Notamacropus eugenii: one gene and its partners. The protein of the gene in region 1 interacts with the protein of each later gene in a biochemical or structural test. Links are inferred from orthologs where the notes say so. Each region holds a gene or a part of one and is shown in the gene's direction. Other genes may lie near its edges. The genes, in order: NCOA6, PPARG, TGS1 and RXRA.

Evidence for each region.
Region 2: the proteins of NCOA6 (region 1) and PPARG interact in a test that uses a peptide from one of them, tested with the Homo sapiens proteins (2 studies listed by BioGRID). The link is inferred for Notamacropus eugenii from reciprocal best matches to the Homo sapiens genes NCOA6 and PPARG.
Region 3: the proteins of NCOA6 (region 1) and TGS1 form a complex in vitro, tested with the Homo sapiens proteins (2 studies listed by BioGRID). The link is inferred for Notamacropus eugenii from reciprocal best matches to the Homo sapiens genes NCOA6 and TGS1.
Region 4: the proteins of NCOA6 (region 1) and RXRA form a complex in vitro, tested with the Homo sapiens proteins (5 studies listed by BioGRID). The link is inferred for Notamacropus eugenii from reciprocal best matches to the Homo sapiens genes NCOA6 and RXRA.

What each region holds. Positions count from the first base shown.
Region 1 is NC_092872.1:418,876,931-418,884,041, reverse strand, and holds the start of NCOA6 (nuclear receptor coactivator 6), read left to right. Parts: upstream 1-4,094; 5' UTR 4,095-4,230; intron 4,231-7,111. Other genes in the region: GGT7 (glutathione hydrolase 7), read left to right, coding at 1,670-1,833. UniProt on the Homo sapiens protein: Nuclear receptor coactivator that directly binds nuclear receptors and stimulates the transcriptional activities in a hormone-dependent fashion. Coactivates expression in an agonist- and AF2-dependent manner.
Region 2 is NC_092874.1:432,712,045-432,719,604, reverse strand, and holds the start of PPARG (peroxisome proliferator-activated receptor gamma), read left to right. Parts: upstream 1-4,550; 5' UTR 4,551-4,694; intron 4,695-5,770; exon of another isoform or gene 5,771-5,891; intron 5,892-5,951; exon of another isoform or gene 5,952-6,062; intron 6,063-7,560. UniProt on the Homo sapiens protein: Nuclear receptor that binds peroxisome proliferators such as hypolipidemic drugs and fatty acids.
Region 3 is NC_092875.1:273,888,140-273,895,399, forward strand, and holds the start of TGS1 (trimethylguanosine synthase), read left to right. Parts: upstream 1-4,240; 5' UTR 4,241-4,266; coding exon 4,267-4,370; intron 4,371-7,260. UniProt on the Homo sapiens protein: Catalyzes the 2 serial methylation steps for the conversion of the 7-monomethylguanosine (m(7)G) caps of snRNAs and snoRNAs to a 2,2,7-trimethylguanosine (m(2,2,7)G) cap structure.
Region 4 is NC_092872.1:486,966,629-486,974,158, forward strand, and holds the start of RXRA (retinoic acid receptor RXR-alpha), read left to right. Parts: upstream 1-4,529; 5' UTR 4,530-4,775; coding exon 4,776-4,854; intron 4,855-7,530. UniProt on the Homo sapiens protein: Receptor for retinoic acid that acts as a transcription factor.

The sequences.
Region 1 (7,111 bases):
AATACTTCTGAGTACTCCAAAATCAGATCACAATGTCATTGGGAAATGTTTGACAAAATAAATAAAAATGCAATCGAGCACATATAGTGTTCACATATGGCTTTCAAAGTCAACATGCTAGGTGATGCAGTGCTAGACCTGGAGTCAGGAAGACTCATCTTCCTGAATTCAAACCTGGCCTCAGACACTTACTAGCTTTATGACCCTGAGCAATTCACTTTAACCCTATTTGCCTCAATTTCCTCATCTGCAAAATGAGCTGAACAAGGAAATGGCAAACTACCCCAGTATCTTTGCCAAGAGAACCCCAAATGGGGTCTATGAAAGGGCTGGACAAGACTGAAAACGACTGAACCACTTGCTGTACCTTCCTCCAGGTTGTTACGGGGAGGAAAGGGCTTTGTAAACTTGAAAAGGCTAAAAAGACAGTATTGTCTTTTAAATTGATGTTATTTGTGAATATAAAAGATTAAAGGTCAAGTTCATCTACAAATCAGTTAAAAGCCTTGAGTCTTCTCCCTCCAGTTCTCTATGGGTGGTCTTTCTTTCCTGAGGTAGGCATTTCCTCTCTTCTCAGGGTTTAGAGCCCTCAAGGGCTGGGAAGGGGTGGGGGGAATACCCCATAAACCAATTTAGGTCTAGAGGGCCCTCCTGGCCAGCTTCTGTGAAGAGCTTTAAGCCAGGGCTGGCCAAATGAAGGCAGGCAGTTGGCAGAATTGCTGTTTGTAAAGTTTGTCCCAGACACCAACAGCTACCCCTTTTCTCTGCCCTTTTCCCACCTCAGTGGTGGCCCTTCTCTCTCAACCTCCCTTCTGACCCCCCAGTGCCCTCTTGCCTCCCACCTACCCAAAGACTGCTCTTGGGAAGTGCTTTGAGATCTAAGATAATAATTATTTAGCCACTTCCTCCTTTCTGGGCCTTAGGTTCCCTACCTTTAAAATAAGGAAGGTTGGACTAGACTCCCCTTCTAATACTAATTTATATATGACAGTAGTCATGTGACTTTAGGCCAATCCCTTCACCTCCCAAGGTCTCATTCCCTTCATCCTTATTTTCCCGTTGGCCTGGACTAATTCTATAGCATTGTAGTTGGTCTCCCAGCCTCAAGCCCATCTCTTTTCTGGTCTATCCTTCATATAACTGTCAAAGAAATATTTCCAAAAGACCTCAGTAAGTGCTTGATTGATTGATCTGTAAAATGGAGAAGTAGGACTAATGCTAGTGACTGATAACTCCATAATAAACTAGTTGTGTGGCACTGGGCAAGTCCCACAGTTAAGCTGTCCGGGATTGTTTCCCGTGTAAAATGTGAGGATTAGAGTAGATGATCTCTACAATCCCTTCCTACTCGGACAGTTTATAATTTTCCCATGGGAATTTATTCCATCAATCTGATCTCTGGAGAATGTTGGGATTTGTCCCTATTAAGGGATAAATGGGAGGACTGGAGAGAAATTTGGGAAGTAATGGAGATTTTTCTAGGGGTGCTGAAATTGTTTGTCTACATCTTGCCCTGGACAGACAAGCTTGTCTAGTCCTGAAAAATAAATCATCTTGGCCAGTGCTTGTGGGTTTATATGAGTTTACTGAACACCCAGAAGAGAGTTCTGTACACAGGAGATACTTAATAAATGTTTGAATTGATTTTGTTGCATGTGATTTCTTTCAGGTGAATTCACAGAGGAAGAGGTTGAGTTCCTGGAGGCTAGGGGCCATCGGGTTGAGAAGGTAGACGTTCTGTCCTGGGTCCATGGAGGTCGGAGAACCAACAATTTCATCATTGGGGTGAAGGATCCTCGAAGCCCTGATGGAGCGGGTGCCACCATCTTGTAGGGCTGGGTGGGTGGGGCAGGGGCAGGCGCTGCAGCACAAATACCCCTTTGCATGTTCCAAGAGCCCCTTGGAGCCCTGCCTCCCCCTGGGCAAGGGAGGGAGGGAGGAGGGACAGGCACAGAGTGGGTCTGAAGACCAGAGGTTCCCAGTTGGTGCCTTCGAGCTCTGCCCAGGGCCTGGGGACCAGAGGAGATTTATATCAAACCCAATTCCAGAATAATTGACAAATTCCACAGTTGATGGGTGTGGTGGCCTGACAGACCTCAGGCAAGAAGACTAGAAGAATGGTTCTGCCTCCTTCCAATACTTCCTACTCCTGAGAGGCTTAGGGAAATGCTTGCTTAAAAACAAAACAAAAACTCCCCAAAAAAACCCCACCCAGGTGGCCCGAATCATCCTTCCTTCCCACCAACCCTTGACATCTTTCCCCATCCCTCTCCCCTGTCTCATTTCTTAAATGACTTTTTTTTTAACTGACCATCCAGAAGCAAGGGGCCCTCTTTCTCCTTCTCTCTGTCCCAGAAGTAGTAAGGGTCTGAGGGAGAGGTGCAGGGAGAAGGGGCCACATAAGGGTGGGAGGGAGGGAGGGTGGGTAACAGCTCAGGGGCTTCCACTTCCCAAGAGGAATTAAAGAGAAAGTTGCTTAAGAAATCTCTTCTCTGGCTTGGTCTGTTAGCTGGTCTCCAGGTCAAAGTTGGGACAGATGGCTGAATTTTTGGGAGAGCGAAGTCTCCTCACTTAGACTTCTAATAGGAGCACTTTAGGCTGTCTGCAACCTTGGAGGCCATTTAGACCATCTCTCTACCTCTGGGCAATGTCACCCCTAACTCAGTCCATAAACAATGCCAGTCCCATGAAGTTCACCAAGAAGGACCCTAGGGAGGAAAAATGAATCTTCTCAACCTCTCTTTAATTTTCCTTAGTCTCTTAGGCTGTTCCTGGAAATAGGGTGGAGTAGGGCATGCCATCCAGCACTTTTTTCCTTATAGCTCATTGAGTATTAATGCTGGAAACTTTGACCCTCTAGTTGTACAGAGATGGAAATTTAGGCCCAGAGAAAGGAGAGCACATGCCCAGGTCTTCAACCTTGATTTGACAGAGATGGTACTCAAAGCACAGAATCCAAGAGTTGAAAGGAACCCCAAAGGTCATCCAGTCTGACTGAGAACTGAACGGAAATTCCTTCTTCAACAACCCTGAAAGGTGGAGCTCTCCATGTTAACAAGATTTTATTGACCCCTAAATCTCCTTCCCTGTAACTTTCACCCGCCATTGCTCCTACTTTTCTCTGCAGCCAAAAGGACAAAGCTACCTCTTCCACGTGACAGCTCTTCACATGCCTGAAGACACTGACCATGCTTCCCCTAAGTCCTTTCTTCTCGTGGTTAAGCCATCTGAGTTCCTTCCACTTGTGCGCTCTTGTCCACCTAGGCCTCCTGACTCCCTTCCAGGAGATGCACAGCCCTGCTCTCAGGTGTCAGCAGGGGCCGTTCCTGCTGGGCCCCCAGCCGCCCCAAGTCACCGAGATGACCTCTCTCTCCCTAATTTCAGTTCTGTCTCTAGCTTCTCACCGGGCCACTCTCAAGTCCTGGGATCCCGCGACCCTACTTAGATATCCCACTAGTCCCCCAAAGTGAACACTGGGAGGGAATGGAGACCACCCAGTCTCCTAGAGGTGAAGGCACTTGGGCCAGTCATTCAGAATGTAAGAGCCAGAGCTGAGGACGCAAAGCCTAGGAGCGAGACTTTGGGCCGGTTCTGTCCCTGCCTCCTCGGGGCCAGGGGCAGAGGGTCCAGGTTCGGAAGAACCAACCAGCAGGCAGAAGAACGAGACCGATTCCTGGCTACCCTTTCCTTAAGAGGGCAAACCAGATGGGGCGCAGTCCACGCAGCTGGGGATTGCGAAAAGATGGGGGTTACTGTGGGCTCCGGACTGTGGGGAGTCGGGGAATGCGCAGTCCGGAGAACCTGGAGATCAAGGGTTCAGCGCTGCCAAGGAGTAACTTGGGGCTCAGGAAAGAAAAACTGCCGAAGATCGGGGAGGAAAAAATCCGAGGTTCATCCAGGAGGGACCAGGGCGCGGTGGGGTGGGGCGGGCCCGGGCGCGCCTGCGTGCGGCCGCCCCGAGCTCCCGGGGACGTTCGCTCCGGTCACGTGCGCGAGGCCCCCGCCTGCCCGGCCCCGCCCCGCTCCTCCCCCTCCCTCTCCCCCTCCCCTCCCCCTCCCGGGCCCCGGTCCCCTCCCCTCCCCCTCCCCGCCGGGTCTGAGGCCGCTGCCGGGTCCGGGAGTCCCGGTGTCCCGCTGTCCGGCTCTCCGGGCCGCGGGGACGGACAGAGCGGCGCTCGCAGGCCACGGGCCAGAGTGGGCCGCCGTCGGAGGCCCCTGGCAGGGCCGCAGGTGAGGCAGAGGCTGGAGCTCGGGCCGGGTCCGGGGGGGTGGGGTGGGACTGGACGGGACGCGAATGGGACCAGCCTTGTCCCTGGTCCCGGGAAAATGGCGCCGCCGCGCGGGGCGGATGACAGACCCGGCCCGGCCGGGAGCCGCCGCCCGCCCGCCGCCAGCCACCGGGCTCGCTCGTGTCCCCGCCGCCGCCGCCATGTTGGGGAGCTGGCCCCGGCCTGCGGGGAGCCGGGGCTGGGGGGGGGGGGGCCGGGGCCCGGCCTGCGGCGGTGCGGGGTGGCCTCGCCGCGGTGCCCGAGCCCGAGCTCCGCCTCCCAACCCCCCAGCGGGGCCAGGGGAGGCAGGTGTCCAAGCCCCGGCCCGGGCGGGCGTGCAGGGCAGGCCCACCTCATTGTGTGCCCGGGTTACCGGGCCGGGTGTGTGTGCGCGAGTGTGCCCCGGGGGGAGGGCAGGAAGGACACGGGAAGGCCACTGAGGCAGAGCCCGGGCTGGGGACTTTGACAGCGGGAGTCGCAAAGGAACAAGCTTCTCCCTCCCAGGGGCTTCACGGTGCCTGAAGGTGGGGATAAGGAAGGAAGCCTCGGGATGGCCGGGGCCTGGCCGTGTTGTGTGTACGAAACAGCCGTGGCATTGTGTGGGGGTAATGACCCAGGGCACTCTCCAGGGGAGGACCCGAATAGGGGTCACACAGGGAGGTCACCCGTGGGGGCTGAGGAAGCGGTGTAGACCCAGCGATGTGGAGCCCGTGGTTGGGAGTCGGGACTAACGCCAGTGTGGGCAGCCCACCACGAGCCCGCTGAGCTTCGTGCGCTTTAAACGCGGACTCTGGTTGTCTGGAGCCCCGTGCGGGGCGCTGTCCTCAGAGCGCTTGAAATCGAGCCTCCGAGGCTTACAGCTGCACAGAGACTTTTGGGACACCTGGTGTAGGGACATACAGAAGAAATACAAAGAAACCGGGGAGGGAAGGATCGGGCCGTCGGGAAAGGTTGAGGAGCAGGTCTTGATCGCTGCTTCTTGAGGGAAGGGAGGCTTGTCTTCCAGGCAGGGGGGATGGCCGGTACAGAGACACAGGTGGCCAGTGGAGGTGCCATGGAGGAAGAACAGATATTCAGTTTGTAGATTGGGAAGGGGAGTAATGTATAACAAGGTTGGAGAGATAGATTGGGGCCGGGTTGTGAAGGGTTTTAAAAGCCAGAGAGAGAAGTTATTGGTGTAATAATTAATAAGGAGCAATTGAGAGGTTTTGAATGGATGAATGACCTGATTCTTAAACTCTGTGCCTTAGGAAAATTTATCTGTTGTGTGAAGCAACATGAATGGTGTTGGAAAGACCTTGGACTGTAGGTGCTAGTTCAAGCTCGGCCACTACTTATGTGATTTAGGATGTCAGTTTGTTTCATCTAGGTCTCAGTTTCCTCATTTGCAAACTTGGAGGATTGGAGTAATGATCTCTGCTGAAATTTTATTAACTCCCTTTCCCCAGAATCACTTTTTCTTTTCTTGCCCTTTTATTCTTTCACTAAAAAGAACTTTCTCAGCCCTTTCAATTTCCTCATAATCTCTCTCCTTCCCTCCAGTCGCTGAAGTAAAGTATTCTGACTAAGGCTAATTCTTTTTACCTAATCTCATTTCTTCCTTTGAAGACCTTACTTAAAGAAGTCAACCCCTCTGAGTCACTCATCTCTTCTGTCTCTGCTCCACTGGAACCTTCTCATCAGTTTACAGATGTGTTCATTTTGACACATCCACTTTTATTTAGCTACTATCCTGTCTTTTTCCCTTATGCTGCTAAACGTCTTGAAAAAAATTGTCTCTCCCAGATGCCTACACACCCTCTTTTTGGTTCCCTTCTATCTACTGAAACTTTCCTCTCTAGGATCACCATTACAATCACCAAATCCAGTGCTTTCCAAACCCCTTGACTTGTCAATGTCTTTTGACACTGTTGACCGGCCTCTTCTATTCAATACTCTTCTCTATTGGCTTCAGAGACCATACTCCAGAGATTTTCTTACCTTTTGATGTGCCCTTCAGTATGTCCTCAACTTGGTCTCAATCCCATAATGACGAAGGGCGAACACACGTGATTTTTCCATTGACAAATGAACATTCATTTCCACGACTTCAACTACTTCCTCTATGCAGACAACTCCAAAATTCTCTCCAATTCTGACCTCTAGATCTGCATTTCCAGTGACCTACAAGAAAGCTTCACCTAGATGTCCTTTTGGCACCTCAATCTAACATGTTAAAACCAGGTTTATTTCTTTTCTTTGGGCTCTCCTCCTGCCTCCCCTATTTTTGTCTGATTCACCACCATTTACTGTGCCTCTTATATTCAAAACTTTGGGGTTGTTAGTCTTTACTTTTCCTCATATCTCATATCCAAGTAGGTACCAAGTATTTTGCCAGTTCCTCTGCAACATCTCATTCATCCATTCTCTCCTCATTCTTTCCAATGATACCACCATAGTACAGGTCCTCATTTCTATTCACTAGTTCTATTTTAGGGACCTTTCTACCTTCTCAAATCCATCCTTCATATTACTGCCAGGGTATGATTTCTTATGTATAGATCAGGTTGCTCTTCTGCTCAAAAAACTTCAATGGTTCTTTATTACCTATCAAGTAAAGTTCAGATTTCTTTGCCAGGAGTTCTAAGTATTCTACAGTTTGGGGCTTTCTACATTTTAAGCCTTGTTTCTTTTTCTTTCCCTTTGCTCACAATGCTTAAAACAAACTATATTACTCAAACACAGATAGTCCTCATTATCCTCATCTGTTGAATCATCAGTAGTCCTTTAGTTCTCAACTCATTTGTCACCTCTTCCATTAAATTTTTCCTGATCAGTAACAATTTTCAGATCTCACACCATTT
Region 2 (7,560 bases), on another chromosome or scaffold:
ACTATAAAAATACAAAGAGAAAGAGAAAGATTAAGCACATCTGTACAGGAATCTATAGTTACCATAAGTGAGAAGACTGATTAGAACATTCATTTTCTTTATCCTTCTAGAGCAAAGTAACAAAATACTAGGATAAGTGTTAAATGGTTAATGTACTCTTTTTTTGGACCCTGAACTGAGTCACCTTATTTGAAGAAAGATTCTACTGAATTTTTTTAAACACAGCATTTTTTAAAAAATCATTGGTATATTAAAATGTCTGGAGTCTTTTCCCAGGGGAGCCAATTTGAGTATGTTCAGAATACTATGGAAATCAATTCAATTACGGTCAATCCACATTACTAGACCTCCATTTCCTCCCCATGTGGCACGTATTTTTATTGCACAATTATAAACAGAAGGGAAGAAATTTCCTTAGTGAGAAGGAAAGCATATATATGAATTATGTGTATATATATGTATATATATATATATATACATATATATGAACTCTGTCTATAGGTATGTATATATGCACACATATAGACATACATCCATATGCATCTAGATGGCACAGTGGATAGAGCACTGGCCTTGCAAACAGGAAGACTCATCTTCCTGAGTTTAAATCTTACTAGCTATATGACTCCAGACAAGTCATTATGTCTATGAACGTGTGTCACACACACACACACACACACACACACACACATATTTGAACTGCATATGTTTATTTGAAATGTGTGTGTTTGTTTTTGATTTGGATTCAAAAGAACTACAGCCTAAAATACAAGATGCTCCAAAAGTCTTAGTGTTGTTTAGGCTTAGTCCAATACTATTGGGACATCTTGTATCCAACTCAAAGAACCAGTGGGAATAGCAGTGTGGAGAAGGAGGTGTTAGTCCATTAGTCACATGGCATTGTGTTCATCCTTCACTGCCGAAGAAGACCATGCCATCAGAGAAATGATGACATGACTTGCGCTTGACTTTGGCTTGAGTGAGGGAGGGCTGTGCAAGGTCACCAGCCTCACTTCTCCTCCAGGGCCATCCGAATCCAGTGATCTGATATTCCTTAGGATGATTGGAGATGACCCAGGGTGCACTGGGAGACCTTGGGCCCTTTAGGTCAAGGTCTTTGCAGGTACTCACCTAGGGTGAGGCAACACCCATTCATTGAATAGGCCTGTTTAAGAAATAGCCAGGGCATGGCCCCTTTAATCAGATAAAGAAAAAGAAAGACTTCAGGCTGGGTGGGAAACAGCAACAGTTACTATTGATAATCTAAAGCTAGGAGGATCCAGAGGAGACCTTAGGCAGGGGTCCATTGGAGTCCCAGTTTCAGAGTGCAGTAGGTTTAAGGTTTTAGGAGAGGACAGGACAGACAGGAAAGAAGCCAGTAAAACCCAAGACAACTGGACACCTTTTGACCATCCAAATTTACCTTCCTCTGAAGAGAAGAAGGAAGGCGAGAGGGAGGCAGACAGGAGAGGAGGAGTTTAGAAGATGGGGGAAAGCAAACAACCATAAAACCCAACAGCTCATCTCAAGTAATCAGGACCAGAGCTGGAATCCTGACTCTGCCACTCACTGTTTGGGTAACCTTGAGCTAGTCACTTAACTGGACTTCAACATGTATATGTATAAAATGAAGCCATTAGACTAGACGACTTCTAGGGTCCCTTCTAGCTCTCAATCCATGATCCAATGAACTGATACCATTCTGCTTCATTGTTGTAAGAGGAAGGCAGTAAGTAGCCCACACATACTAGAAGAATATTTTTGAGCGGGGAAAATGTTGAGTCTACTTTACACTCCTGAGTGACTTTAGTTATGAGCATTCTGTAATTAGAACTTGGTTCATTTGGGGTTGGATCACTAATATCAATTTTCTCATTTGAGATTTTGATTCAGGAGAAAAAAAAGATTGCCCAAAAAACTGAAATAAGGTACACTCCTGGTTAGCAGCAAGGTGTGTTCTTCATTAGCATTGATGAAAAGAAGTTTTATACCTTTTGGTCATCAGAAGGCTTTTCAGTTAGGTCCCTTGTGGTAGAACTGGAGAACTGGTTATTCTTCATATACTTGGAATATGCTTTTTGAAATGAAGGGGAAAAAATTGTTCCTACAGGGTCATAAACTAGAAGATTCCATGTTTGAGATGAGTACCACAAACTTTGCTTGGTCTCAGCAGCTTTAAATATACTTCCAGTTGGTGGGGAGATGGGGAATTGAGGGAGGTGGAGAGAGGCCCCAGGACAATGAAGTGACACTGATACTGGGGAGACCACCAGGGGTCATATGTCTGATACATGCCAGAACCAGGACTGAGCCCAGGATTTCTGACTACAAATCTGGTGTTCTTTTCATCTGTCCATACTGCCTTTCAGAATATGTGATAGAGAGGATATTTTTATAGAAGATCATCTACAGCTCATATGAAACAATATTTAGTAGGAATGGAGAGAAATAAGGATCACTGATTTAGAACTGGAAAGGACCTCAGAAACTCTCAAGTCCAAGCCTCCCTCCCCCATTTTACAGATGAGGAAACTGAGGCTCCAGGATGTTGAGTGACTTAACCTGTATGTTAAGATCATAACAAGCATGAGGTAGAATTTGAATCTAGGACCTTTGTCTCCAGAGCAGAGCTCTTTCCACAATACTGTGATGCTAGGAAGTTGTGAGCATCTCACTTAATGGATCTCATTTTCTGTCTTTTGTTCCTATATATGTTTACTAGCAGTGCTTGGATTGGGTGGGATGGGATGGGAGAGAGGACTTAGAAGACTGATACATCCCTCTCGGTGACAAAGTAGATAATCTTTTGACTAGTAAAAGTTGCATTTGGGGCTGTCTGCCCTTTGTTCTGGGCCCATATCAGGGAGGTGATGCCATGACCTGTAAATGAATTGGATTACTGCAGCAAAGGAAGAAGAGGGTCGTTTGGGGTCTCAGAGGTGGAGCTGGGGCCCTCCCTACTTCAAAGAATGATTGTCTAAGCCTAGTCACTTGCCCCTTTATTTCACTACCGGGCTAACCCACCTTCAAAATCCATTGTGGAAGGCTTTAGAGAGGGAAAGAAACCTTGGAGATGGCCAGGCCCAGTCCAACCCACTTTACAGTTAGGAAAGTGTAATGCTGAGGGAAACTGAGGGAATAAGGGGAAATGACTCACGAAGGTCTTACAAGGGTCAAGTGACTTAGCTGGGCTTCCAACCCAGTCCCTAGCGTTCCAGGTGCTTTTTCTAGGGCAAATGCTGGAAAACCCTTTCTGGCCTAGAAAATCTTTGCAGACTAAGGCTGTTGCCCTCCATGAGGCACTTTCCATCCCTCAGTGAGGAGTTTCCGGGCTAAGTCTGTCCTCAAACAGTTTCCATTCTGTCTGGCCTTGAGAAAGGGCCGGTGGAATTCTACGTCGGTCTCTGGTTTAAGTTTGTCCCCTAGGAGTTTCGGGCCTATGACTGCTTTGCTGGCCTCAAGAAACTTTCCATCTAAACGTGCGCTGAGTAAGTTGAGGCAAAGTGGCCAAGTTGCTGCCAGTCCCGCAGTTCCAAAATAGTATGCCCTGAAGGAATTCAGCTCAGGGAGCTGGGAATCTTTTGGAATTTACAATTGCATCCACAAGCTCTAGACTTCCTTAAATTGTATGCAACAAACCCTAGCAAACCTCTGCATTTGCATGACTGCACGTGGGCTTTCGGAAGTCTCCCAACTTTCCCCTCCAAGGGTCTCGATACAAAGAAAATTACAGTGCTGGAAGCAAGAAGTTTGGCCACCACAGCTCTCGTCGAGGTGCCCCCTCAAACAGCTTCTGGTCTCTCTGTGCCCAGGTTGCTTCCAGCCCAACTCTGTCCCCAAGGCGCTTCCATTCTCGCTCAGGATAACAGAAATGACTCAGTTTAAGGCTTAAGTGGTCGAAGTGCTTCGGCCCCGCTTTTCTCTTCCAGATGCCAAGTCCCTGCCTCGGCTCTCCAACTGCGCCCTGCTCTGCTCTCCACTCTCCGGACCCTCGCAGGCTGTCCCGGCTGACCTCCAGGCTTCCAGAGGAGAGCCGCGTTCTTGCCCGCCTCTGCCATCCCGACCCCAAAGTTACTTCCCCGTAGCGGGCGGGGTGGGCTCACTCCGGGGAGGCAGCGCTGTCCCCCGCTCGGAGGGCCGAGCCGACCCGAGCGCTGCGGGGGGCCGGCCGCGGGCTGGTGCTGGTTCGGAAGCGGCTCCGTCCTGGAGCCAGCGAGCCAGCCAGCCAGCAGCGAGCGCGCGGGGAGCGCAGGTCCCTGCGCGCCGCCCCCGCTCCCGCCCCCTTCCTCCTCCTCCTCCTCCTCCTCCTCCTCCTCCTCCTCCTCCTCCTCCTCCTCCTCCTCCTCCTCCTCCTCCTCCTCCTCCTCCTCCTCCTCCTCCTCCTCCTCTCCTCCTCCTCCTCCTCCTCCTCCTCCTCCTCCTCCTCCCCCTCCTCCTCCTCCTCCTCCCACCTCCTCCTCCTCCTCCTCCTCCTCCTCCCCTCCTCCTCTCTCCTTGCCCCCTCCCAGTCCAGGACCCTGCCCCCAGCCTCCGCCCCCCGCCCCGGCCCCGGCCCCGGCCGCACTTGGCGATCGCGCAGGAAGAGCGCGCTGACACTCCGGAGCCGCAGCCGCCGTCACCGTCACCGGAGCTGCCCGGTCTGGCTCGGCTCAGCTGGGGCGGACACCGGGAGCCAGGGACGCCACCGGCCGCAGGTCAGAGCGCCCCCGCTGGGCTGGGCCGCGGCCGCGGGGACCGGGGAGAGGGCTGTCCAAAACAGCCCGGGGCTGGGTGCCTGGGGCCAAGAGCCCCCACGCGTCTGGGGTCCCGTAGCCGGGAGCACTCGTGTCGCCGGGTGTCCCGGGATCAGGGCTCCCTCCTCGGCCGCCGTGTCCCGGACTACGAGGGTCGCGGACCTAGATGTCTTGGGATAAAGATTCACAGGCGTGCCCAGTGGCCCGAGTTTAAGGGCACGCGGGTCTGTGTGTGCCCGAGTCACTAAAGGAGACTCGCAGCTCCTGTGGCCCGGGCCGAGGGGGCTCTGAGCCGAAAGGAAGCCGCGCAGGGTGCGTGTTCCCTGCCCCGGGACAAGAGACTCTGGGGTCTTATGTCACGGAAGAGAGAGGGCACCGAGGCTTGGCTCCAGGGCTAAGTGGCCCCGGAAAGGAGTCGTAGAACTTAAGCGACCTGGGGTCAGAGGGAGCTGAGTCCGAGTGCCCTGGAATACGGAGGGTTGGGAAGGGGGTCACTGTCCCCCGAGAATAGGGAGGGAAGTTTCCTGGGAGACTGTGTGCCCTGTGTGAAGGGCGGACGCCATGCAAGTGGCTCCCCCCCGGCCTTGCCGACCTAGGCAAGGGAACAGAGCATCTGTCTCTCTGTCTGACTGTCCTTCTGTCCGCCAGGTCTGCCCTGGGGTTGTAGTGCAGGGAAGTAACAGGTGATGACAGCCCCCAGCCCTCCCGAAGTTCTGGGAGCATGCACGGGGCAGGAGGGGCCCAGGGATGCCAGCCTGCTTCCGAGCAGCAGGATGAGCGCGCTGGTACTAGGAGTTCCCCAGTGTGCCCCGTGCTGCCAAGCTGAGTCCCTCGATGCCATGTGGGCACGGCGCAGGACAGCAGCAGGCTATGCTCCTCTGAACTCTTGCGGGGGAAACGAGGTGGGTCAGGTAAACAGAGATGACAGGTTCCTTGGGGTTGGGGGTGGAAGGAGGGTGTGAGGGTGAAGAGAAAGGTGGTACTTTGTGCCTGGGCTTTTGGGGAGGGGCCAGGGAAAGAGCGCCGGAAACTGGGAGTCACCGATCCACGGCTTTTATATGGGGTCAGGTGAAGAGGAGGAGCAGCTGCTCCACTTTGATCCGAAGGGGTAGGAGGGCTCCGTCGGCACCTTCATCGCCGCTGACTTCTACAACTTGGGTGAGTCAGCTCGCATCAGCGACATTTTCTTGAAGTGCTTTGGTGAGAAAGTTTGCGGAACGTTTGGCATTTGCAGTGGTGACTGACAGCGGAGCCGGCTGAAGCCCTGGAGGGATCCTTGTGAGACCACTAGCCCATAAAGTCCGAGTGAAAGCCAGTAGTGATATTCTGGTAATAACTGACCTGTAATACTATTGGGGACTTGGAATATTTATCATTCTGACCTAAAAGCATTAAGGGCTTTTAAAGTAACTTTGCCTAATGAGCTTAAGGCCAAAATGCATAGGTGTAATTTCTTCTGGTAATTTGCTTGAATTAGCTGTTGAAAATATTTGGACGGGGAAATGGACTTTGGACATATTTTAATTAAAATGTATCATTTTATCAGCCATGCTACTTTTCACTTCAAAGGTGTGGTTTTGGTTTTTGTTTTATTTTTTTTCAAGTTGTGAAAAGAAAGTTTCTCTCTATGGAGAGATCAATGAATTACTTATTCATAAAACGGACCCTGTCAAACTAAGTGCCTAACCACAGTGGACTTCAGGTGCCCTGTAACCCTCCTCTTGTGCATAGGAAACTCATCATTGCTATGTAGTAACGTAGAGCTAACTCCCCCTTCTTGTTCTCTTTAGGAATTGGACATGGATGTTCCATAAAAATTTCGGGGGAAATTACTTAGGAAATTAAATACTGTAATAAAATGATGGACAGGTATCATTGATCATCATAAGCCTCCCCCCCAAAAAATAAGCCCTGATAGCCTTTTTGTGATTGTACATCGATTATACATTTTCGAGTAAATAGTAATAGACAAATTTCAGGATTTTTCTAATTGTTACAATAAAATGTCTTAGTTTTCCATTTTTGTGAATAACTTCAGCTTTAAGTATTATGCAGTCATGGACAATTTTACATGAGAAATTAAATATTTGTAATTACTAAATCATAGAATTGGAACTGAAAGGGTAATTAAGAAAAGTTTTTGGAGAATTGGAGTTTGAGATTTGATGTAAGAACAAAAGTTCCTGACAGTTTGGGTAGAATGGATTATGTCCCCTTCCCCCAAAGGTCTTCAGGCAAAGGTGGATGCTTGTCCTGTTGTAGAGGGGATACAGGTAGGGTTAGATGGCCTCTGATGTCCCATCCAACCTGAGAGTCAGGAATTCTGTGGTGGCAATTATACTCATTTTCTCACTTAAATCGTGGTTATTTGTATATCTTATGGTGGCCCAGCCTCTTTCACTATATTATAAACTCTTTGAGGGCAACATACCCTGCCATCTTTCTTTTCCCAGAGCTTAGTCAACAGTAGGTGCTTAATAAGTGTTTATTAAATTCAATCGAGAATATATCAGTCAAAAGGAAAATGCAAAAATAGAACTACACATTTTTCTTTTGTCATAACATATACTTTACACAAATGATTTTCTTCCTCCTTTATTTAAATCATATGACATATGATATTCAGTATGCTGACGATACCTTTAAAACTAGATGGGTATATTAAATTTTAAGACTCAGCTGGGGACCAGCATGGCTTTTTCTTTTCTTTGCTACATGATATAGGAAAAACCCTACTTCTGTTGCTCTGATACCAGATTTTTATCAAATATTCCTCTTCAGCCCTTTGTTTTCTAGTTTTTAACCACAAGCACAGTAAAACCAGCAT
Region 3 (7,260 bases), on another chromosome or scaffold:
CTGCTTACTCATAGCTCTTCCCCCAGTAAAATGTAAGCTCCTTAAAGGCAAGGACTGTTTCATTTTTCCCTTTGTATTTCCAGTGCCTAGCACATAGTATATGTTTAATAAATATGTACTGATTAGTATTTGTAATACTGTTTAGTATTATAAACTGCAGAGTTAGAACTAGAAAGGCCAACCCTCTAGTCCAATCCTCTGCTTCTACAGATCAGAAAAAATGAGGATCAGAGAGAGATTGTGACTTTCCCAACCTTACACAGGTAGAAAGTGAGGGAGGCAAGATGTGTACTCAAGGCCTCTAATTACAAATCCAGTGCTCTTTCCATTGCACATTGTTTACTGTGTCTCCATTAAATTGGGAAAATAAGTCATAAAACATAAAAACTGAAAAATTAGAAATTTAAATGATAGATTATCTAATCCTATTAATCTGACTTTAAAACCTTAAATTGAACCATATTGAGTTGGTATTTCTCTTCACTGAGGAGGGTGACATAGCAGCTGGAATGCTAGAATCAAGAATACAAGTGTTCAAATCCTGCCTAAGACCCTTACCTTTGTGACTCTGGGTCAAGTAACCACTCAGCCTCAATGTCCTCATCTACACAATGGGGCTAATAATAGTATCTATCTCACAAGGATGTTATGAGGATCAAAATGGATTGTACATGTAAAAGTACTCTGTGGATCTCAAAGCACTATATAAGTAAATGCTAGTTATTATCATTACTTCTATTCCTCAGTAAACAAGGCTACCACATTTCTGCACATTATCTTCTTACAATGAAAAAGACTCAGTTCTCTCCACCACTAATATGGAATCACAAGTGTTAGTGAGGTTACATGTGTAAAGACATTTAAGTCTTAAGTCTGTAAGATTTTTCAGATATTTCCAATTTGATATCAATTTCTGGAGATACAAATGTACGATTTTGATATTAACCACACCCATAACCAAAATAAGTTGACTTGCCAGAAATCAGTCAAGGAAGGTCTTGATCCAAGCTTCAGTTTCTTAGAAATGAATAATCTAGAAAAGATAACATGATAATGAAAGAAATATTATAGTATATTATTATTATGCTATATATAATATAGTATAGTATAATACAATGTGATCTATGTAATATAAAATATATAATTGATATATGATATGATATGATAGTACAACAGGCATTTCTAATCTACTTGTTTTCTCCTGTGTAGACAGCTGGGGTACTCTTCCAAGGGATTATGAATTTCATTAAGGAGCTTATATACTGTGTCTTGTCTTAACTCAATTGTTACAAAGGCATCCTAGATATTCCAGAAGATGCTCTAAGAATTCTTAATAAAACTGTATCAACTGACTTCAGGGTACAAATTCCTTAATATTGTACATACCTGATGCAGAATGCAGTGCTGTGTATATGTATATGTATAGATTACATTAATGGAAAAAAAAAACCAAATAAGATCAGGAATAGAGAAAGTCAAAGAATCAAGACCTGCCTAGATACTCCAGTTAAAATTGCTCTCAACACTTAAATGTCCATTGATAGAACATATGTGAGAGAACAATTGGGAGAAGGAAAGCCTTTCAAGTAGCAGGAGAAAGGAGGACAAAAGAAGAATCTGAGAAATGGATGAGAGAAATATTAAGTCTGGAGAGGGAATCTAGTACTAAAGTTCAATTTTCAATAAAAAAACATCACAAAGTAGTCTCAAACTCTTTTTTATAGCTTAAAAAGTATTTGGATTTCAAAGAGTAGAAATAAAAATCTTCATGTATGTAAAAAATTTTTCTAAGGCCAGAAATGTTAGAAAACCTATTTTCCCCTTTAAAAATTAATACTCTACTTGCTACTCATTAGTAGTGCCTTTCAAACTTTTGGTAGGTAGAACTTAGATGGTGCAATTTGTTTTGTGGCCAAGTCATATCAAAGGAAATATTCCTATACCCTTAATATCCCAAGCTAGAAAGAACTAAACCTACGTACCCCAAAAGGCAGGAAACTCAAGTAGCATCAAGTAAGCAACCCCATACAGGTGGAAGGTTCTGCTTTCTCTTTCATATCTAAAATTGCCTTATTACTGTTTTCTTTAATATCTAAAATTATACAGATAGAAGATTAGTGACCTGCTACCTATAATGGCACTATGAAGTGGTTCCACATCACAAACTGGTATTTTATCTGTGGAAATGGCATTAAAGCAGCATGAACATCTACTTTGCTGCTGCAACCTTAAGGACTGAGACTTTTTTATCTGACTTACAGCTGGAATCCTTTTAGAATGCAAGCATTTTCAGAGCAGGGACTGTTTTACTTTCCAATCTGTATCCCCACGGTGCTTTGTACATTCTTGTTATTATTCATTTATGTCTGACTTGTTACACCCATTTGGGGTTTTCTTGGTATAGATACTGGAGTGATTTGCCATTTTCTTTTCCAACTCATTTTGCAGATGAGGAAACTGAGGCAAGCGGGGTTAACTGACTCGTGCAGGGTCATACAAATAGTGGCTGAAATAAGATTTGAACTCTGAAAGATGAGTCTTCCTGACTCTAGACTCAGGACTCTATCCACTCAGCCATCTAACTATCCCACTTTATACAAAGTAAGAACTCAATAAGTGTTTGATTACTTTTAAGAGTTCTTCCAGCTTTAACACTACAAACCTAGGAATCCTTCTTAAGTACTGTTCTAATTAACCTACAACTCTACATTCTATCGCCTTAGTTGTCTTTTACTCTTCAGCTTTTACATCCAGCTCCCCAGGAGTCCAATGTCAATTTCACAGATGTTGCTACATGGCCTCGTCACCCAACACTCCATGCTCCTGAGGCATGATTATGTATGACATCACCAAAAGGCTGGTGAAGCACCCGGAGAGAAGAGAAAATGAACAGGTTGTGCCACATTATGAACAAGGAATGGGAGATGTCCCTAAAGAACAAGAAAATTCATCTTTCAGCTCAGGGCATTCTCTCTGGCCTCATGCCTGGAACTTCTCTGTGCCGCCTCCTGACCTTCCTGATTCCTTTAAATACCAACTAACATTTCACCACCTAAAGAAGTCTTCCCCCAACCTTCTTAATTCCAGTTTATTCCCTCCGTTAGACTGGGAGGAAAAGTACAAACAAATACATACAAAGGAAGCTATATATAGCTTCCTATATATAGCTTTTTTTTGGCCTGTTTGTATCCTCAATACTCAACACAGAGCCTGGCACATAGTAGGCGCTTAATTTTTTTAAAAAATAAGTGCTTTGATTTCAGAGTTGTAATTTAAGACTAGTATGCATATTATGTTGCATAATAGTCAAGAAAGACAAAGCAAAAGTGTTTAATTACGGTAAGCGCAGGATGAGAAGTACCAGTCTTTATAGCCTCTTTTTGAATTATTTAGCACATGGCAGGCGCTTAACATCGGATGAGAAGTGACCCAGACTGGCCAAGGACCCACGTGCCCCGACCACGGGGGACTGGAAGCAGAGGTCCGCCGATACGCACCCACTACGCTCAGGCACCCGCCTGGATAGGAGGTGCTCCCGTCCTCCACCGCCCCACATCCCGCGAGACAGGAAACCCGCGGCCTCCCGCCCCTCCCCCGTGGCCTCGAGACAGGAAGCGCCCCTCCCCCCGCCTCCGGGATAAACAACGCGGCCCGAGGTGGAGGGGGAAGGGAAGAGGACGACACCAAACCCAGAGAGGAATCCGCCCTCCCCCCTGTCCACACCTCCCAAAGAAGAAATAAAGAAATGGAGGAAGACGCGGCTGGTCTTCCCCTCTTACACCTCCTTCATCCGATCCCCACCTCAGGCAGTCCGGCCGTGCACGCCGCAGAGCTAAGCCGGCACTTTTCTCCAGCCCTCTAACTAGGAACACGAGTTGCGTCTCCAACCTGGACTGCGTTCGGTGGAACACCTTCCCCTCCTCTTCCCGCTCCCGCGTCCTCGGGCCGGAGAGGCACTTCCGGTCGGCGGGGTGGGCGCGCGCGCTGCCGATGTTCGCTCCCGCTGTGGCCGCGATCCCCGGGGCTGCGTCCTCCCCGCGCCCCGGTGTGTGCGCGAGCTCTCTGCCGAGCGACCCTCGGGAGGCCTGACCCGGCCCCCCTCCGCACACGCCCCGCGAGCGAGGGCCCGACCCTCCCCCACCCCGCGAGGGAGGGCCTGACTCGGGTCTCCCCAGCCCAGCCCAGCCCGGCGGGGGCGGCCTCGGCACGAGCGGCGAGGGAAGCTCGGAGCCGGGAAGGGTGCTCGCGGCTGAGCGCCGCGGCGAGATGCTGTGCGGGAAGTGGAGCCTCGTGGCGGAAATGGTCCTGTACATCGAAGGCCTGGAGGAAGATCTAAAAGTCGTCTGCCTCTGTTCTAGAGCGTTTGTGGAGTAAGTAGCGACGTCCTCCCGTCCCCGCAGCGTAGCTGATGCCCTCGGGGTCCTGCCGCCCCCGCCGGGCCAGGAGGCAGGAAGACTCAAGCCCCTTTTGCCTCAGTTTCCTGCTCTGTAAAACGAGCTGGAGTCTCTGCCGAGAAAACCCCCAGTAGCGTGGTGAGGGGTCAGACGTAACTGCCCTGCGACCCTCTTCTTCCCTTCCTTTCTAAACCTCTTGACCCGCCCCCTACTCTCTCCTTTGGTAAGCTACATGCCCCTCCTCATAGGCCCCCCCCACCCTCATATCTCCGTAATTATCCACTTTTTTCTTCCCTAGTGCCTTTAAACAGGAACAAGTATCATCCTGTGGAGGAAGAAAGCTTCCCTAGATTGTTCAGCCCCTCCACCGATCTGTGTCTGGTCACCCTCTGTCAGCCTAACTCCTAGGAAAAGCTGCTGGGCTTGCTTCTTCTGGATCCCTCCGACTTCCCATCCCAGCCAGCCTCTCCCACTCACCCATGGCCTCTTTTCTCTAAACTACTTTCCAGTGATCTCTGAATTGCCAAATATAATATTATTTTCTCAGTCCTTGTTCTTGACCGCTTTGCAGCATTTGTGACACCATCTTCTCTGGGGTTTTGCCACACTGCTCTTTCCCAGTGCTTCTCCCTATCTGAACTTGCCTCGTTCTTTGCTAGAAAATCATCTGTACCTCAAGGCTGTGTTGGCTCTTCTCTTTCTTGGCCATCTCATCAACTCCTGTAGGGTTAATTATTCTCCCAGCTGGTCTCTTACCCCCAGATCTATATCTCTGGCCTGAGCTCCACTTAGGTGTGCATCACCAGCTGCCTAGTAGACACTTAAAACGGGATGTAGTGGACGTATTTCAAAACAGAACTTATCTTTCCCCCTAAAACCCTTTCCTTTTCTGTACTTCTCTGTTTGTATCACTATTCTTCCAGGCTCCCAGGTAGCATAAGCTCGTTGTTACCCTTGACACTTGACTTTGTTTCATGAAATAGATATAATCAGTTGTCACATCTTAACTTTTCTGCCTCCACACATCTCAGTTCTGTTCCCTCCTCACTACTCACACAGCCACCACTTTTAAGTTCAGGCTGTCTTCATCTCTCTCCTGGACTTTTAAAGGCCTCTTATTTTTTTCTCTGTTCATGATTTTCCTTAAACAGCCATCTGATCGTGTCACTCCTGTATTCAATCAGGAGTCATTGGTTCCCTACTGACTTCAGGATAAAATTAAAATTCCATTTTAGTTTCTAAATCTCTTCACAATTTGGCCTCATTCTAATCTTCCAGCTATATTACATTATTCGCCTTCTCACACTCTTCCAGCTCAGCCACATGAGGCACTCCACGTTTAAGCTCTGTGACTAGAACATGTATTACTTCAACAGCTAGTTGATGGTGCACTGATCCTGGAGTCAGGAAGACGAGAGTTCAAATCTCATCTCAAACATCTACTAACTGTATGACCCTGGGCAAGTCTGCCTCAGTTTCCATAACTGTAAAATAGGGATAGTAATAGCACCAACCTCCCAGGGTTGTTGTAAAGGTCAAATAAAATAATATTTGTAAGGTGCTTAGCTCAGTGCTTGGCATGTAAGTAGATATGGTATAAATGCTAGCTGTTTTTCCCTCCTTACCTCTATTTGTAGAATATTTCACTTCTTTCAAGACTTGATTCAAACAACCCTTTTGATTTCTACTCTCTTCCTTCATATCCTGTATTTTACCAGGCAGCTAGCTAGTACAGTGGTGCAGTTAATAGAACTGGGAACTTAATGTCAGGGAGACAGCTTTGTGATCCTCTGTATGTCACTTAACCTCTCACAGTCTCAGTTTCTCCATCTGTAATATGGGGGTGAGGGTGGTATTAATTTCACAGGGTAGTTGTGAGGATTAAATGAGATAACAAAGTTCACTGTAAACCTTTAAGTGCCATATAAATGCTAGCTATTTAGCTACTTTGTATTTCTTTTGAATTCTTTATTCAGCGGTATATGTTATCTCTTGAAAGCAAGTACCTATATTTTTTTGTCTTTGTATCCCAAAAACAGTGCTGGTCACTGGTAGGTACTTAATAAATTTGCTTGTTGATTAATTGCATTAGGAGTAAAATAAGTGGGTTTAAATTTTGTCTTTCTCACTTGAACAGATTTACGGCAAGTCTGTACCTCAGTTCCTTATTTGTACAATATGGAGAGTTGCACTGGACTTCAGTTCCAAATCTTAATCCAGCTTAAGGAGAAAAGAAACAAATTCCCAGAAGTCATATACAGAGGATTTAATTTTCTCTCAGATCACTACCTGTGATTTAGTAACTAAGTCTTAATGAGTTCCTTGAGGCTCATTGTGACTAAATGACTTGCTTGGAGTTACAGAGCTAGTAATAAGTATCAGAGAAAGGCTTTGAACATAAGCCTTCCTGATTGCATTCTGTCCACTTGGCAATACTGCATCTGTATCTCATCATACATCCAAATAAATGGCTAATCCTTTCAACAAATTCATGGCAACAAATGTTTATTAAATACCTACCATGTATGCACCTGGTACTGTCTTAGTCCCTGCCCTCAGAGTCCTTATATTCTACTGGGAAAGTTAACTATTTTCTAAATTTAGCAATCTTCATAGAGCCAAACAAATGGAGAAAATTACCAGTTTTGGAAAAGGTGTTTTTCTCTTCTCACTCACTGAATGCAGATTTCACCACATAGAATTTTATCAATTTCATTTTCTGAGCTAACTTTATCACTGTCAATAGATTCTGCTTCAGTTGATGTTTTGTCTATTGTAAACAATGCTGACTTTGCTCGAAACTTTGTAGAACTCTAGGCATTGTCTTTAGAGTCTGTGACAACATCTTTTTGAGTATCTTGGGGGT
Region 4 (7,530 bases), about 68 Mb from region 1:
CTGCAACCAACTCCTTCCCCGACTCCCTCCAAAGGCTTGCAATGTTGCCATATCTCAGAAAAATCACCATTTTCCTTGAACCTTAGATTCCCTTCCTACAATCATCTGGCAGAAGAGCTAGGATAAAGAAAGCCTCTGAAAGCTGAGACCTCTTACCTCCTAATATCTCTTCCTAATTTCTTCTGATTAGTGCCCAGCTTTAGCTATGCACCAGTCTCAGACTCCCAAGACACCATCTCCAGCCTCTGCTGGCTCATGATTGCTGGGCACCATCTCCCACTAGGCTTAAGCTGGAATGGTGAGACCCAGGCAGAGTTTCCCAAGCTTGACTGAAGAGTCTTCCTTCCCACCCTAACTTCACCACATACTTGAAGCCTTTGGACCACTTTATGGGACTCAGTTTCCCCCTGTGATAAAATGAAGGTGTTAGTCTAGAGGATCTAATTCTCTTCAAGCTCTAACATTTTCCATTTCTATGGTTCACCCATTGATAAAGACCTAGGGAGGGATGATACTAGGTACTGAAGGATATATAAAGATGGATAAGATATGGTCCTTACCCTGAAGGAACTCCTAGTCTATTATGAGAGATAAGAGTGAGAAACAAATAACTGGGGTGTGAAACAGTCTGATATACATATATAAATAAAGATAATAAGTACTAGAGGACAAACCAGGAAACCTCACAGAAATTGCATGTGAAATTTTTTCTTACAGCACTCATTGATTCATTTGTACCCATACTCTCTAAATCCCTTGTCTCTCTGAAGTACATGTTAACCTGTTGATATATCCTTCTAGGAAAAGGGCTTCACAGTGCCTAGTCTTGGGAGTGGGGGCTTCAGGTGACTCATCCCTATCTGTGGGCTTCAGTATTTCAAATCTTTGTTGTAAAATGATCAAATTGGTCAATGAGTCAAGTGCTTACCATGTACCAGAGGAAGCAGACAAAAAAGAAATAATGCCTCCCCCTCCAGCAGCTTATGTTCCTTCAGGGGAAGCAACATGGACATATATAAATAAATACAAAATACATACCAAGTAATTTCTGTGACTGGTAGATTCAGTAGTGGTCTCCTGAAGAAGAGAGCTTTGAAGGAGAGATGGCAATGAGGAAGAAACAAAGGCACGAAGACATAGAGAATGCTGCATGTGACCAATTGTGTCAGACCACAGAGTCAAAGAGAATAATGTGTAATAATCCTGGAAAGGTAAACTGGAGTCAGATTGTGATGTGTTTTTAATCCTGAGGAATTTGTTTTATCCAAGAGGTAATAGGAAGCCAGGGCAGCTAGGTGGCGCAGTGGATAGAGCATCAGATTTGGAATTAGGAAGACTCATCTTCATGAGTTCAAATCCAGCCTCAGATACTTACTAGCTATGTGACCCTGGGTGAGTCACTTAACCCTGTTTGCCTCAGTTTCCTCATCTGTAAAAATGAGCTGGAGAAGGAAATGGAAAGCCACTCCAGTGTGTTTGCCAAGAAAACCCCAAATGGGGTCATGAAGAGTCAGATTTGAGTGAACAACTTTTGGGTCAGAGCTAGAGGTAGCTAGGTAGCACCACACATAGCATGATAGGCCTGGAGTCAGGAAAACCTGAGTTCAAATCTGGCCTTAGATACTTACTGACAGTGTGATCCTGAATAAGTCACTTACATCTGTTAACCTCAATTTCCTCAACTACAAAATGAGGATAATATCAAAGTTGTTGTAAGGATCAAATGAGATGATATTTATAAAGCACTTAACACAGTGATATCCCTTAATAAATACTTATTTCCTTCTTTCCAACTGTGTTTTTGAAGAGTACTCCTGGTGTCGAGGGAGGGGGATATGGAGATTAAGGGAGGCTTCACGAAGTACTTACCATTTGAACTGACAAATAGTGGCTCCCCTGAGTGAGCCAGGACTGCTGCTATTGTCCCCTGAGATCAGATGATCAGGGGATTTGTACCTAAAAGGAATCCTCTACTCCACAGATTCTTAACCCTTTGTGTGTTATGACCTCTTCTGGCATTCTGGTGAAACCTATGCATCCCTTCTCAGAATATTTTTTTTAAAGTTTATAATTCAAGAAAATTCCAAATTTTGGAGTTCATTGAAAATAAAGATGTATTTTTCCCCACCCAAGTTTATGGACCCTGTGAAATCTGTGTACTCTTTGAGCATTCATCCCTTGAATAATATGAATTACCATTCATATTATTATTAATACTTAATATTTAAATAGAATGAATAACAATTCATGCTCCTTCAGCACTCTAAGGTTTATAAAACACTGTCCTCACAACAACCCAAAAAGGTCAATAGCGGGAGCATTCTTACTCTTACCATTTTACAGATGAAGAAGTAAAGGCACAGAATAGAGGCAAAGTAGCTCGCCACAACTAGTAAGTACCAAAGCCAGGGTATGAAACCCAGATTTTTTCATTCTGAGGCTAGGCTAGTCTTTTTCCCAACCACATCAACTCTGTCTCTTTGCTTCCTGGAGGAACAGAACTTTGAAGGAATCTTAGGATTTGGAGAAGCAACAGGAGAAGCAGCTGCCTCATTTATCTTTTCTCTGCTCCTCTTGGACATGTCTCTCCTCTCTCTTGCTACACATCCTTAGGTTACTGTGTTTTCCACAGCTTTCTATGCCAGAGGAGAAGGGTGGGGTGTGAATGAGGTAGCCCTCCCTCTCCTCAAGCATTGCTACTTAATTGGACTAATTTGGTTGCTAGACTCATAAAATGGCTGTCTCTTTCATGCAATACAGTCGGTTTCCATATTGGCTACTTACAGGGTTCCCCTTGGAGCCAAATGGCAGGGAACTCCATTTCTCAAGCAGGCCCCAAGAGAATTGGCTCATTATTGGCCTGGAAGAATTTCCACCAAGTAAAGTTCTTCTTGGAGTTGGCAGCAGCACAATTAAAAATTTCACCCATTCCTTCCAAGACAAAAGAAAATGCACACACACACATACATATACATATATACACACATGCATTTGTAGACATATACACACATGTACACACATACACATCTGTGCATAAATACAAATACATGCATACATATGGAAGATGCTCCTTTTATACCCCACTCTAAACCCCACCAACATACGCCATACAGCTTCAGCCCAAGCCAGATAATAAAGTGTTGCTGCTGTTCAGTCATTTTTCAGTCATGTCCAACTCTTCATGACCCCATGTGTAGTACTTCTTGGCAGAAGTACTTGAGTCATTTGCCATTTTCTTCTGCAGCTCATTTTACAGATGAGGAAACTAAGGCAAACAGGATTAAGTGACTTGCTAAGGGTCACACAGCTAGTAAATGTCTGAGATCAGATTTGAACTCAGAAAGATGAGTCTTCCTGACTCCAGGCTTGGCATTCTATCCACTGGGCCACCTAACTGCCCCAGATAGCAAATGGTTTTCTGTTATTCTACCATTTATTTGGCCATATATGTGTTTGATATTGAGGGGAATTATATTCTCCCCCTTATCCAAAATGATTCTTCATTCTTTCCTCTCTGGTTTCATCCTTCTTTTCAGATTTCTTCAAACTAGGATATTCAATGTACTTGGAATCAGGTCTTAGCTCTAGCTTGGTCCCTAAATCACTATGATTTTAGGGAATTCACTACTCTGAACCTCAGTTCCCTCATCTGTAAAGTGAAGATGTTGAAGTAGGTCTCTAAGGACTCTTCCAGCTCTGACAATGTATCTTCTAAAGTCCCTCTGAGCTGTGACATTCTATGTTCTGTATTCTAAATTCCCTTTGAGCTCTAACCTTGCATTGTTCACAAGCATAGGGAGAGTGAGGAGCAGCAGGGAAGATTTCATCCTTTTCCGGGCACATAGATGTGCTGCACTAACAGATCTGGGAGATCTGGATTGAGGTTTCAGTATTGCCTCTGGCTTGCTGCATGACCTGAGGAGCAACTATTAGTCTCGCTTTTCTTCATTTTGATCATTTGTCAAATGGAGGCGTTGGATTTCCCCCTCAATGGGGTTCTACAGGGAGATGATCTCTGAAAAAAAAAAAAAGTCCTTGGAAGGAAGGTTGTTGAAGACTCCAGATTATACACACTAATTTAGACAAAATGGCAGCCCATGTTCCTCTCCCCCAGCAAAATCAAGAGTCCCCATTTTCTAAGAAGAGTCCAGAGATGTCCTGGTTTAACTGGTACTACTTACAGATGGTTTTCCACTAGGTTGTGACTCCTGGTTTTAGCCCAAGTACAGAGAGGGTGTGTTCCCATCTTTCCAATGCCTGAGAATTACTCATTTAAAATTCATTTCAGTGGACTTTTTATATACCTATTTTATGTCTGTTTATTTAAGTTACTATGGTAGTGTCTCATGAATGATATTTAAGGAGAAACTTGGGCTTTCTAACTCAATTGCTGTAATTTTCCTTTAAAATTTCTCTCCTCCTACCTCCCCTGTCTCCTTTTGGAACAGGAGTCTGGTTGGACTGGACTGGGCTTCAGTTCAGGGGAGGAGAGAGTGCCCAACATGTGATCTGGGAATTGGGAATTTCGGAACAAAATCCCAGCTAAATCTCTCTGTCATGTCTTCATTTTTTCCCCCTTTCCCTCTCCTCTCTCCTTGTTAAAACAACATCTTTGGAGACTTAAACAAATCAGTGGAATGATTTTGTTCCCTTGCCTTTCTCCTGACTTTCTGAAGATCATTTCCCCCTCCCCCCCACCCAAATAATCCCTCCTCTTTCCTTTCCTCCTCTCTTCCCCCTCCCCTTCACCCAACTCCAAGTCAAGGGACCTTCTCATGCCTTCTGTTCGCCCCTACCTGGACCAGGTGCTCCTGAAGGAAAATATGGATAGCTTTTGTCTTGGCTTTGGACTGGGTAAGTTTTGGGTTTTTCTGCTTTTACTGGCTTTCAAATGGACAACTCCATCAGTGCTGCAAAGCAGGATGCACATGGACTACAAACCTGAAGGTTTTCCATGCATCTGTCTCCTATGAATGATACCTAGATAAAATAGCAATGGCACAAGAGTCAGAAGAACTGGGTTCAAATCCCAGACCAGCCCCTTGTAACTGTATCTTTGGGGAAGTCATTTGACTGTCCTTGGGACTTAATTTGATCTTCTGTAAAATGAGAGGGTTGAATTCCATGACCTCTGAGTTTCCTTCTGGATCTAAATCTATGATCCTATGTTATTATTAGGATTCCTAAATGAAAACTTAGGGCAATGGGAATAGGAACAGGAAGGGGGAAATTTAGGGAAGAAGAACAGTGGGGCAGAGCATATTCAGGGCCAGGATGATACTCCCTAGATGGGACTGTAATTTACAAACAATTTTTTGGTAGGCTCTAGGAGCTTTGCACTTTTATACTTTTCCCCTAAAGTTTTGTATTTGTAGGTAAATATTTGCTTCGCATTAGGCAGTACCATAGTCCATTGGTGAACCCATTTTTCTAACTGGTAAAACAAGGCAATGAAATAGTATCTAAACAACCTCCAGGTGGTAGCAGAGCCAGGAAAGACTGCTCCTGTGGTCCAGGCTACAGAAGTCAGAGTCCCTTAGGATTAAAAGCATTCCAAGACGCACAAGGTATGACTAGGTACAGAAGGACCAAAATTGGCCTAAGAGAGCTAGCTCTTCAGCAATATCTTCAAACATGACACATCCAATTTGGAGTATTGCTCCGCAGAACCAGCAAGACATTCAGGTCCGTGCTTTCTCTAGCTTTGTTTCTCCCTCCTCAAGACTACCAAATCCTAACATGAGGCTTGGGGCCTGGAGGGACTTGGAAGGGAAATTTGCAGGAGAACTTGGTCCCCAGACCTAATGTATTTTGCTCCAAACACATTTCCCCTTGATTTTTAAAACCCATGTCTGGATTGCAGAGTCCATCCGTCTGTTTTTAATTTATTCACACTAAACTCATCAGAATGTGCTTGGGTAACCACAGTTTGATGTCACCAAATGCTGCTAAACCTCCTTTTGCCTTTTATCTGAGGAAGAGGAAGCCAGGATTGTGCCAAAAGAAAACAGGATGAGTCAACCCTCACAATCCAAGTTGAAATTGACATCCAAGTCCAAGTGGTCTCAAGATTCAATGTAAGGCATTCCCCAGGCTCATTGGAAGTCCTTTATTAGATATCTCAGGCTTATCAATGCTGCTGGTGAAATTGTACTTGAATAGTGGATAGATGGATAATTTTAAAAAGCAATGATGATGATGATGATATAGCATTTATATAGCACTTACAGGCACTGTGCTAATCTCTTTATAAATATTATCTCATTTGTTCCTGAAAAGAACCCTGGGAAATAGGTGCTGTTATTATCCCTGTTTTATAGTTGAGGAAACTGAGGTAGACTTAAGTTTAAGATTAAGTGACTTGTCCAAGGTCACACAGCTCCTAAGTGTCTAAAGTTGGATTTGAACTTGGGGCTTCCTGACCCCAGACTTGGCACTCTGGCCCAACATAGGTGTTGGCTCTTACCTCCACTATCAGTGTTTTACAGTGGTTCACTGCACTTGGCCAGGGAGTATTCAGTACCAGCTGCAATCAGGCTTCTCTCAGATCTTATAGAATCCAATTCCAATACCAGTTCTGTCCTGTCTGGGGTGTGAGGAAAGGTTATTTTATGGGAGATCATGCATTTTCCTTGCAATGGTACCCTGGGGCATTTGGTGGGTAAACCTGGAGAGCCATAAGCTCCATGTAGGCATCAGGTTAGGGGGTAGACCCCAGGTTGGAAGGTGGTTGCTTCTTTCTTATTATTTATTGTCAGGATGGCAAAAGGCAGATCATGTGAAGGGGGATTGTGGTGGCACATATGAACAAAGTTCAAAAGAATCACCCAGATGATTGAATTGGTGAGGGAAGTAAGCAGAGATTGTCAGGATAGCACATTAAGAGGGAGGTAGCAACTCCAGATCAATGGGCCTACTCAGGGGCTGGGAACCTGCGGCCTCAAGACCACATGTGGCCCTCTACGTCCTCAAGAGTGGCCCTCCAACTTGGATTTAGTCAAAGGGCTACCCTTGAGAACCTAGAGAGCCACATGTGGCCTTGAGGCTGCAGGTTCTTCACACCTGGCTTAGCTCCACCTACCACCATCAACTGAAGGTCTTACAATCAACAGCTATGTTACAGGATGTGCCCAAATCAGTTCTTTCCAAGCGCCAAGACAGATACTTTGCAATGAGCAGCATCGTTTCTATATCTACATATAGGTAAATGAAAACTCAAACACTCTTAAGGCAGCTGTTTGCAGTTCTTGATTGCCAACCTCAATGAAAATGCATGAATACTTTGGCTCTGTCAGCGGATAAGGGTTTACCAGGGAATGAGGTATAAAAAGGTAGGGGTAGGTGTGTTTTACTTGGAAAGGGCATGTTTCAAAGTCCCACAGCTAGGGAGAGTAGGGAAGAGGGAAATTTTGTCAGATGTAACAAAGCCCGAGGCCTGGGACACTGCTCCATGGTCTGATTTCCTGGGGAGAGCCTCTTAGCCTAGATGGGGAAAGTCATCAGTCAGTCCGTTGTTATTTCTTTCAATTC